Linked DNA regions of Xenopus tropicalis. The protein of the gene in region 3 interacts with the protein of the main gene of each other region in a pairwise test. Links are inferred from orthologs where the notes say so. Each region holds a gene or a part of one and is shown on either strand. Other genes may lie near its edges.

The links.
Region 1: the proteins of lmo2 (region 3) and tle5 interact in binary tests that used the Homo sapiens proteins (3 or more experiments, as listed by UniProt). The two-hybrid records come from large-scale screens. The link is inferred for Xenopus tropicalis from reciprocal best matches to the Homo sapiens genes LMO2 and TLE5.
Region 2: the proteins of lmo2 (region 3) and stat1 interact in a two-hybrid assay, tested with the Homo sapiens proteins (2 studies listed by BioGRID and IntAct). The two-hybrid records come from large-scale screens. The link is inferred for Xenopus tropicalis from reciprocal best matches to the Homo sapiens genes LMO2 and STAT1.

Annotation. Positions count from the first base shown.
Region 1 is NC_030677.2:114,623,015-114,626,614, reverse strand, and holds the start of tle5 (amino-terminal enhancer of split), read left to right. Parts: upstream 1-1,204; 5' UTR 1,205-1,474; coding exon 1,475-1,507; intron 1,508-3,014; coding exon 3,015-3,112; intron 3,113-3,600. UniProt on the Homo sapiens protein: Transcriptional corepressor. Acts as a dominant repressor towards other family members. Inhibits NF-kappa-B-regulated gene expression. May be required for the initiation and maintenance of the differentiated state.
Region 2 is NC_030685.2:43,531,951-43,535,780, forward strand, and holds the start of stat1 (signal transducer and activator of transcription 1-alpha/beta), read right to left. Parts: upstream 2,856-3,830; 5' UTR 2,712-2,855; intron 1-2,711. UniProt on the Homo sapiens protein: Signal transducer and transcription activator that mediates cellular responses to interferons (IFNs), cytokine KITLG/SCF and other cytokines and other growth factors.
Region 3 is NC_030680.2:15,306,837-15,310,666, reverse strand, and holds the start of lmo2 (rhombotin-2), read left to right. Parts: upstream 1-1,008; 5' UTR 1,009-1,253; coding exon 1,254-1,294; intron 1,295-2,500; coding exon 2,501-2,716; intron 2,717-3,375; coding exon 3,376-3,595; 3' UTR 3,596-3,830. UniProt on the Homo sapiens protein: Acts with TAL1/SCL to regulate red blood cell development. Also acts with LDB1 to maintain erythroid precursors in an immature state.

The DNA.
Region 1 (3,600 bases), on a different chromosome or scaffold from region 3:
AATAAGTCTGAGGTGCAGAGAGGAATTTAGTACTGTATTGTTTGCTGTCCTATTACTTTAAACTTTTCTTGATTAAGTTGAGATTTTTACTGTGGCCCAAAATCACATTTACAGTGAGACAGTTGTTTTAGTTAAATAATTTGGTTCATTTAAGGCTGATGGCCCAAAGAGCAAGTTAGTTGTCCGCTGTAGATCTCTGCTACTGCGGGCAACTAATCACTCTGAAATGCCTTTCCAGTGGCAACAATCGGAGTCGATGGAAAGGCCTATGCATTGCTTCGGCTTTCCAAAGTTGCCTGCAGGAGGAAACTTTGTGCGAATTGGGAAAGCCAAAGCGATGCGTAGGCCTTTCCACCAGCGACTCCTATAGTTGCCAGTGGAAAGGCATTTTGGAGCACTTAGTCGTCCGCGGTAGCGAGATCTATCGCGGGCGACTAACTTGCTCCATGGGACATTAGCCTTAGATGTCATTCTGCAAGGCTCCATGTTTTTGTCAGCATTTTGCATTGTTACACCAGTGTGCCATTGGGAAACCGTGTTCATCTAAACATAAACTGATCAGATGCAAATGCTCAGTGCATTGGTGTGAAGGTTGAACAACATGGTGCTGTAGGCCCTTAGTAAACGAGGCCATCAGTGTCTTATCTTTTGCACCCCATAATTACCAAGAACTGAACATCATGTGTGAGTGTCTGGAAGCAAAATCTGTGCAGCCAGGAGTTTGTAGCAGGCCAGAAATGTTGAGGGCCCAGTGGGGCCATAATTACTAAACAATTTCTCCAGAAATTTTGGGTGCCCCTTTAATGAATATGTTGAGGGCTTAGTAACATCTACTTTCACCACTGGTAAAAATTGAATTACTTCAGTTCAGATGATTGTTGTAAAAGCCTTAGATATATACAGAGACAAAAAATATTCTTAAGGGAGATTAAAATAAGGCAGCCTCTAAAAATTAGCGAAATGATGCTCCCACTGAGGTCTGTATAGCAGGGTTCATTGAATGTAACTGATAAGCTTTCATTTTTTCAGGAATTTTAAAATCAGCTAAAAGGACAAGGGATCCTTACATGGGAAATTGAATCATTGAAACTGTGACCTGTAGAGGGAGCCATATATCTGCTTAAGCACAGACGCCATTAAACAAAAGGCTCCTGAGTGGGTAGAGAGCTAGGAGATCGTGTAGTGAAGCAGGGCAGGCCGTAGCCTCAGGGGTGGGGGAGCATTACCGGGTTAGAGATCAAGAAGGGACGAGGCCAAGGGGACAGTAGAGGTCCTGGTTGACAGCACACAGAGCGGCCAGAAGATCATCTGGGGTTTGCGGATCACATATCTGGGCCCAAAGCAGTAGTGCCGGCTGAGAAGCAGAGCGAAGCCTTCCCAAAGTGCACTGAGCCCTTGGATAAAGCGCACAGGAAGCCGGGCCTTGGATACTGAGCCTGTGCGTAGCGCCGTACATACCGGGGCCGGGTGGGATATGATGTTTCCTCAAAGCAGCAGCCGGCACTCGGTGAGAAGGCGAGGGGTAGAACTGAATGTACTACTGTATTATTGTGTGTTATATTTGTATAGAACATGTTCATCTGCTGGAGACGCTAAAAGCAATATGGGGGTAGGATTTTTTTGTTGCAGGAAGTCCTGCCGTTGCAGGAGCCGAAAGGGCTTAGTGTTGTAGTAGAGTTTCAGAATTCTGTTGAATCCATCTTTGCCGTCTAGAGCACTGGTAGCATTGTTATATTTTCGAGGTGATATCCAGTATTACACACTGCTGTGCAATGTGCTGCCTCTTTATAAATACATGTTAAGGACAAGAAATTACTGGAAGGGGCAATGGTAGGCATCCCCTCCCCAATAATTATAATTACTAGCCTCAATCCCCCCCATTGGAGTTGCCTTTGTGCTTAAAATTGCACTGCCCTGGGGCACTATTGTAGGGAGTGCTGCCAGCTTGCTTTCTGTCCATGCAATTCTTACTTCTGCCCTGGGTAATGAGCACATGCTATAGAGCAAAATCAGGACTGAAGCTGCAAGCCAAATATTTTGCTGTATTGCACATGACCCAGAGCAGCAGCAAGGAAGCAAGATGGTGGTGCACCCTAAAATAGTATCCTGGCCACTGTGTTTTTTTTAGTGAAGAGCAGTATTAGCCTGGGGTCCAAGGTAATCACCAGAGGTGCCTGACAAATGTGGCCCTCACCATATTGGCAGTGCATAATTGAGATATTCATGTATCATGTACTGTACCACAGAAAAGTGAGCCTCCAATTGTCAAAATAATGACCAAGCAGTGTTCTAGTTGCTGCCTTCTCCCTTGGAAATGGGATACATATACTTAACAGAAATAGCTAATTATTAGTAATAACTATGCTTGCTGCAGCCATGTATTATGTGCTTAAAGCCTTCCATACACTGAAAGATCCACTCATTTGGTGAAGTCGGCAAACAAGTGAATTATCTTGTGATTTGGCCACCAAGGTTTGTTTGGCTTTATGGCCGCTGATCAGATCATTATAGGGGCCTATACTTGGTTGATTAGGAACTGAGCGTATAAACAACCAAGTGGCCCTTATTTTATGATATTTTCAAACCTGCCCAGCAGATATCTAACTGATATGGCAGCTAATGTTTCCAAAGGTATTTTTAGCTTAACATAATAATACATATTGCATAAGCCATTTAGGTGTAAAGGGGTGAGGTGGCAAACAAAGACAAAAGTTGTTGTAGAACTCTTCTTTTACCCTATTCTACCTCCTGACTCATGGGAACACAATCAAAACAAATTACTAGTCCACTGAGAAGCCCTTTGTATAAATAAACCCCTCCCTGCCCCTTGATGCAACCTGTTAGACTCTGAAATGAGTAGCTCATTATACAGAGGTTTCTCAATGGACTGGTGATCATTAAAGGGGTATACTATGCCTTTAATTTAACCACTAATTAGCCAAGTGTCCTGTGGATTCCATTAAGGCTGCAAATGTTTTCACATGGAATTTCTATTATGATTTTTTTTTCCTTAGGGCTCTTCGCATTTGCCCCAGCAACTCAAATTCACAACCTCAGATTCATGTGATAGAATTAAGGATGAATTTCAACTGCTGCAGGCACAGTATCACAGGTAGGAAATTGCTTCATTTTGACACTGAGGGCCACGCCAATGCACCTTTTGTCTGATGAGGTTTTCAAGCCTGCCGATTGTTATCTAGAATTTACACATGCCAATAAGCTGCCGACTAGGTCGGGAGGAACCAAGTCATCAGCTTTAATCAGCCCCTGTACGGCCACCTTAAGGCTAATGGTGCAGTTAGTCGCCCACTATAGATCTTTGCTACCACAGGCAACTAGCTGTTCCGAAATGCCTTTCCACCTGCAACAATAGGAGTTAGGAGTCGCCAGTGGAAAGTTATACGCATCGCTTTGGCTTGCCAGTGGAAAGGCATTTTGGCACAGTAGTCAGCCATGGTAGCAGAAATCTATTGCAGGTGACTGACTGGCTCCATGCGACATTAGCCAAACACTACATTTTATGTTTTTTATGGCATAGTATTGTTAGGACACATACATGATGACCTGTAGCTAACTTGTTTGACATAAATTTAATATAAC
Region 2 (3,830 bases), on a different chromosome or scaffold from region 3:
GTATAGTAGTAATACACACCTCCAGGTTATTATTAAACAAGTTAAAAAGCAAAGACCAAAGACAGACCCCTGCGGTACTCCACTAACAACACTGGTCCAATTGGAAAATGTTCAATTTAACAGCACTCTCTGCAATCTATCCTTCAGTCAGTTCTCTATCCAATTACAGGTATGGAATCCCTTATCCGGAAACCAGTTATCCAGAAAGCTCCGAATTACAGAAAGCCCGTCTCCCATACCCTCCATTTTAATTACCTAATTTTACCTAAGAAAACTGGAAAAACTTATTGACTCGAGTATAAGCCTAGGTAGGCCCTGGACACCCTGGACACTCATTGGTGAACCAACCCTAGTAACTCTGGGGTAGGCACCCTGGATATTTACCGCTAAAAAGTCAACAATACATTCCACCATCTTGTTCTGCCCCCTAGAAGCCTGCGCCATGGCGTATAATATAAAGGTTCCGTTTCCAGCTTCAAGAACTCCATTAGCAAAGGGAAAAGTCGTGTCTCTTCCTTATATTTTATTGTCAGTAGCCACCGGCAAACAAGCTAGTATAGGCCACCAGTAGCAGGTAGGTAGGCAGGCCTGGACTGGGATTCGAAATAGGCCCTGGCATTTCAAGTACACAGGGGCCCAAAAAGCCCCCCAGCCCAATAAATAGTGACTGTCTGTGGCATCTTACATCAGCCCCTCTGGCATTTGCCAGAACCCAGAGATTGCCAGTCCAGGCCTGTAAGTATACAATACCTGCCTAGGGACCCACTGACTGAGCTTTCCATATCTGCACAAGGTTGTTTCCCATAATTCCCATGCACTCCCATAGTGCAATGCGTACCGGCCAAGGCCCAACCAGAACATTCAGAACACTCTCTGTAGGGCACAACAGTGATCCGAGGGGGTCAGCTGACATCCAGATAAATAAACGGCTCATGTACAGAATCTGTATATAGTGATGCACTCATTGTAATATTATTGTACAAAGAACTACAATTCCCAACATGCTCCAAATGACCACAATGGTGATTTATCCTTTTGACTTTACTTAGCTAGCAGCCATAGAGCAGGTGGTAGTGATATAGGGTAATGTATAATTTAATAAATCTGGGATTTGTAGTTCCCAGATTGCCTTCTTATCTGTGCCCCCTTCCTTTGTTTCTCTCCTTATCACCCAACACCCTTTCTGCGTACGCATTTGTACATGCCCAAAATATTGTTGTGTGCACATGCATGCGTGCGTTGGTTCGTGCACGCACGCCCGTCCAGCCCTCTGTCCAGCCGCGGGGAGGGAAGAGGGGTGCCCCGTAAAACAAACTTGTTCAGCCTCGAATCCTTATACTCGAGTATAAGCCGAGGGTTCGTTTTTCAGCACATACAGGTCCATGTTAATCTAGGAAAGTCCTGCCCAGTTTACCAAATTAGGAAAACCGGGCAGAGAGTTTTGGCCCAGACAGCCCTTCTGGAAACCGTGTTCTCTGGGGAAACCCGACTATTCAATGTATTTTTACAGTGCAACTGCTTCACATACACCAATAACAGTTTATACAACAAGCTAAGAACAGATGCATAAATTACAATAGGTTTGGTTCTTACACGTGTCAAATGAAATCATAAAATAGGGCAATCATTGCCAGTAAATAGAATATTCGTAGGTAATAAATGAACAGCTATAAACTTTAAATTGTAAAATAATATATATTCTTAATTTATGAGGAGCAGTATCTCTAATACAGGGAGTGGAACGGTCTATTTGCACTAGAAGAGCTGAATTTAAAAATTAATTGTTAGGGGCCTTCTTTTGCCACCCCTGGTAAACTGTTGCACACTCCCGTCTTATGGCAGGAATGGTCATGCTGGCATCATTTTTGATAGCGATATTTTATTCTGTAAGTGAACATGACATGATTTAGTTATTAATTGGATATGACAACTGAAGGAGAGGGTAAAATCAAAGACAACCCTAAGGCAATAGGCCATTAGAGCGCTTGTTATTTCTAGGGTGTTCTAAAGTTTGCACTGGGAAAAAGGGTTATTCTGTCTTATATTCAAATAGAAATGTCTGTCAAAAAACTCAGAGATCAGAGTTGAGACTGAAAAATACAGGATAAATTTGTCACCCAGTGGTATTGGAATACATTCAAGTTAATTAAACCCACAGACATGTTGTGTAGATTTTTTTTTTTAGATGAATTGTGCAAATAAAATTTGCTTGGCTAAGTAGTGGCAAATATTAAACAATAGCAGTGCAGATTTGCAGCTCAACTTAACAGTACATGACAGCCTTTAGAGTGCTCACAAACCAATGTAAATTAAAATAGGGGTTTCCAAAAAACAAAAGTCACTGTGGTAAGTGATACACCAGCTGTACACAAGGATTCACAAATGGGCAGGATTACTCAGCATAAAGCAGATTAAACATGGGCTGTGCACACTGGAGTTTATAACCAAGTAGACCAAATACAGAATGATCCAGTCGGCTTATTAATCAAAACTGGGCAAATGTTAGCAGAGGCAGAATGATGCACACAATTACGAAAATTATATAATATATGCTGCAGTATAGTGATGAGTATATAATAGACCAAAAGAGCAATGGGGTTGCCCAGACAGGCACAGTTATAAAAACAGAATCATTAGCAGAAGCGTTTATACCGATGATGTCCTAAAATGGGCGCCGTACAGTGGAGTAAAATGTCTCTCTTTCAACGTACCTGACGCCGTCCTGTATAATAAGCTCAAGAAAGCAAAATAAAACGTCTTGAAATTTACTTTGATTCCGGATACCTCTAGAATCACCAACTCACACACACAAAACCGAAAGAAGAAATGAGGGTACAGCCCTTACTTCCTAGACTGCAAGCTATCCCCGCCTCTAAATCTTGACTTCAGCAAATCATAAAATTGTTTGCTGGCTGTTACTTTAAGTTGGATTGCCTCCCTCTGCTTTGATGCGGACACTTCTTAAAGGGCACCGAAACGATTAATTTGTGCACATTTAATCTTGCTGTAGCAAACAGGCTACTTTTTACAGTTTACTTTTTCAGAACTTTTCTTCTTATATGTATTATATGTAACACTATTTTGTCTTAGATTAGGCCAACCCAGGCTTGTAGTGTAATATAGAGCATGTGTTACATGTGACCCTTAATTCTTCGGCATGGGCCTCTGCTATGTGGGAGATGTAAGATAGGAGCTGAGGGTGTAGTTGAACTACAACTTTCTGATGCTGTGTAGTGTAGATGGTATAAATGGACGCAGAAAGGTTCTTGCTGGTGAACTATAATACAGATTTATTGGTCAAAGACACAGATGTTATGCAGGGTTATCATACTCACAGACATGCAGATTGAAATGGTACAATGAGGGATTTCTCTTTTGTAGAAGAGAGAGTGTACACCGGTTTACCCCACCTCTTGGTAGAGTCTGGGCCGGGATATACACCTTTCAACCAGTACCCCTTGAGAGATAGTGCAAGTAGTAGGAACTCCTTCAGGTTGATAACCTCTAGTGGATTGAGTCCTCCTAGAGCCCTGCACTGAGACAACATTGCCGGATAGGAGAAATACTCCTGGATCTAATCATTCCTTTGGTAGGCTAATGGCCCTTTCTAGCTAGAGCTGACTATGCTCACTTCTACTAGAGAGTGCTATTAAATAAATCTGCTGTGCTTACTTATCCTCATTCACAGGGCCCTGTCCCTGACTTATACAATTAGTAAGGTGTTCTTTGGACTAAGGTGGCTTACTGGGGCCTGTTGCAGCACCCAGGCTCAGAAGGAGCTGTGCTTAGGTAGCAGACAGGCAGCCAAAGAGGAAGCCACTCCTCCCTGC
Region 3 (3,830 bases):
AAATCAGTCAATAGATGCTCAACCACAAGAGGTTTAACTAGAGACGGACACTTCTGATTCCCCAGAGGATTTGGGAAAGCTTTTAGCACCACTGAATGAGGGGATTAGTGACCCTCCCCCTAACACCCCCCCACCACATGCATTTACAGCCAAAGCCAGGACCTGCTAACAGTACAAATCAAAGGGGAACTAAACTGGTTCAGCAATGTCCAACCTGTTGTTTAACTAGAACCCAGCTGCCTGATAGTGGGGTTGGGAGCTGCAGTGTAACAACAGCCCGAGAAGGATGGACATCTTTGATATAGATACTGAAAACAATTGTTCTGGTAATGTTGCCCACAATAGATCTCTGCTAACACGGGCGACTAATCTCTTCAAAATGCCTTTTTCACCATCATCAAAGGGAATCGGTAGTAGAAAGGCCTTTCCCTTTAGTTGCCTGCAGGGGGAAACTTCACCATTGATCAGCACATACCTCTTTTACCACTGAACCCCTAGTTTAGGCCCTTTTGTTATTCCAGCACTCCAAATCCACCCCCCCCCCCCATTGCCTGGGTGAATTCCAGAAAAAGTTGAGGGCCCCTGGGCAAGCCACCCAGTATGGAGGCATCAATACACAGACAAGCAAGTTTGCCCCCCCCCGTTATCTCTTTCAAGTGCATGGCCCCAATTCACCACCCCCTTAGGAGAGCTCTGCCCTTGTAGGTATTCCGCTGATGGCAAATAAAGAATTGCATTCACTGCAGGTCTCTCCAGCAGTGCATGGGTTAATCAGCAAGGCAGCTGCTGTGTCTGGTTCCAACTAATCCTGGCTCTGCAAGCCTATAGCAATACACACAGAACTGAGCAGCTGCCCCTTTAAATGCCATTTCCTTCTATTGTATTTGAATGGTGATCAGGAAAAAGGAAATGAAAGCAGAGTCAGAGGGGCTGAGCTTAAAGGCTGCAAGAGGGACACCAATCGGCTATATAAGTGACAGTGACACAGGGCTCCCTCCCAGACCTGCCTGCAGCAGGAGAGCAGCTCACAGATACAGCTGGCTGGGGAATACACAGGGGGAGCAACAGGGATGGAGAAGAGACAGCAGGGGGCTCTCGCATGTTCCTTAGGGAGCTGGACAGCAGCCTGTGAGTGTTGGGGCCACAGGGACCTGCGCTGGTGACGGGCATATGCAAAGGAGAGGTCCAGTGGAGCTAATCCATTTGGCAGAAGAGTCAGGGGACAATAGGAGGAGGCGCGCCAGATTCTGCAAATGTCATCAGCTATAGAGAGAAAGAGCCTGGACCCAACAGAGTAAGCATGCTTGGGATAATGCTTGGGGGATGTTGGGGGAAGAAGAAGGGGGCCCTGGCAATGCAGAAAAGCCGGGACCCTCAAAAAACAATAAATAAGGGATTTGCAGCCTGCAGCCCTTCATGCATTGTACCAACTCCTACTATCACCAGCCTTTTGGGGGTTGCTAGGAGTTGCAGCGCCACAATGCATGTAGGATTGCCAGTTGCACATCCAAAGGGAAGCTAAAGGGTTAATGTCCCCTGAAACCACGCGTGGCTTGGGGACGAAGGATGCTTCGTTCAATCCTTAGTGACTGGCAATTTTACCCATTTTCATGGTGCTTTGGCTACTGGGAAGAACTGGTTCATATTCATGTTCAGTGAAGTCAGCGGCAGATATTTGGTTTTACTGTGCAGCATGGCATATTTATCTATAATGTATGAAAATAAGTCATGCTTTCAGTGCAGGCTATTGTGTGTATATATATATATATATATGTATATATATATATATGTGCTGCAGGAAAACACAGCAGCATGGCAGCTCCATTCCCTATTACTAATATATGTCAATCAGTAATTTATGCTGTACAGGAAAATAAAATTGAGTCATAACTATAGGGCAAAATTCAGGGCCCTGGGCAGCTGTAACTGAACTATACCTATCACCCTGGGCAGCTGTAATTAGTACATTCAAGTCCTACGTCTATTTGTATAACACGCGCTGGGAAGAATCCGAAGCACAGAGCACAGAGCGGTGCAGGGTATAGTGCAGTATAAGGGTGAAGACAGAGGCAATTCTCAGTATTGTCTATGGCAGGGTGTTTTCTGGAGTTTAGTAGCCATGAAAAAGTAGCTGCTACCAGTAGCTCCATGTGTCTTCACCCTTTGTCAGGGCTGAGTGGCAATTAGCAAATGCAGAAGACTGATTAACATAAGTCGCTTTCCTATTCTCTATCTTGGTGGCAGAGGAAGTGCTTCATCTTTATCTGCGCTTGTATTGCACTATCAGTTCTAAAAGATGAAAATAGTGACCATGGAGCCCTGCATGGGCTGTTTCTCCGGACATACATAGAGCTAAAGGGGGGGCCTGAGAAATTCTTTTCAGATCTAAATGCTTGCGGAGCCATTAATGTGCCCATGGCTAATAAAAAGGAAGAAAGAAAAAGTGTCTCTAGGAGCCTATATTCAGAACTAAGTGCTTGTTGCTCTCTTTTGCCTCTAGTGAACCAGTGGATGAGGTCCTGCAGATCCCCCCCTCACTGCTGACATGTGGGGGCTGCCAGCAGAGCATCGGGGACCGCTATTTCCTAAAGGCCATTGATCAGTACTGGCACGAAGACTGCCTGAGCTGTGACCTGTGTGGGTGCCGGCTGGGCGAGGTCGGGAGGAGACTTTACTACAAGCTGGGGCGCAAACTGTGCCGAAGGGACTACCTCAGGTATTTCCAACCAGATTGATTCTCTTCTGTTAGGACAGAGCCCATGGGGCATTTTATCCACTGCTGCCAGATAAAACAGAAGTACTTTTGATGTAGCAGGCCAATATAACATATAACATATGGTATAACACATGTTCAGGCTGTATCAGACTGGGTATCTAGTGCCCAATGGGACCGCCACTACCTGTTCATGCATGCTACTCAAAAAGGGCCCAGACTGGCAATCTCTGGATCTGGCCAGAGGGGCTGCTGTAAGAGCCATAAACAGTCACTATTTATTGGGCTGGTGGGGGGCTGTTTGGGTCTCTGTGTCCTAGAAGTGTCAGGGCCTATTTCAAATCTCAGTCCAGGCCTGACTCCTTTGTAGCCTCACAGAGCAATGGTGTTTGGCTGCTAGGGTCAGTGACCCTCCATTTGAAAGCTGGCATATAACATATAACTTTTTGTGGTTTTTCAGTTATTAAGCTTTTTAATTGGCAGCTCTCCGGTTTGGTATTTTAGCAGCTATCTGGTTGAGTAGGTCTTATTTACCCTAGCAACCAGGCAATGATATTCATGAAGAACTTGAATATGAAAAGGTGAAGGACTGAATAAGTGAAAGATAAGTAATAAAAAATAACCATAACAATAAAAATGTTGCGCGGTTCTGTTTTTTATAGGCTGTTCGGCCAGGACGGACTGTGCGCCTCTTGCGACAAGCGGATCCGAGCCTTCGAAATGACGATGCGGGTGAAGGACAAAGTATACCACCTGGAGTGCTTCAAGTGTGCAGCCTGCCAAAAGCACTTCTGCGTGGGGGACCGCTACCTGCTCATTAACTCGGACATTGTGTGCGAGCAGGACATCTATGAATGGACCAAGCTGAATGAGATGATGTAGCACTGGCAGAGCTTCGGGGGCCCATCCAACATGGACGCCAGCCACACGTTCACTAACCGCACTGGAACTGACAATACACGAACGACTGACAAACCAGTATCTTTCCACTGGAACAACATTGTCTTATTCACTGAATTAACACTCACATGTACATCCAGAAGGCCATTCTGGTGATCCTACTGTCATTATTGGTGCTCTTGTCCTTCCTGAAGCAGCATGTGGATAATTGTGACAT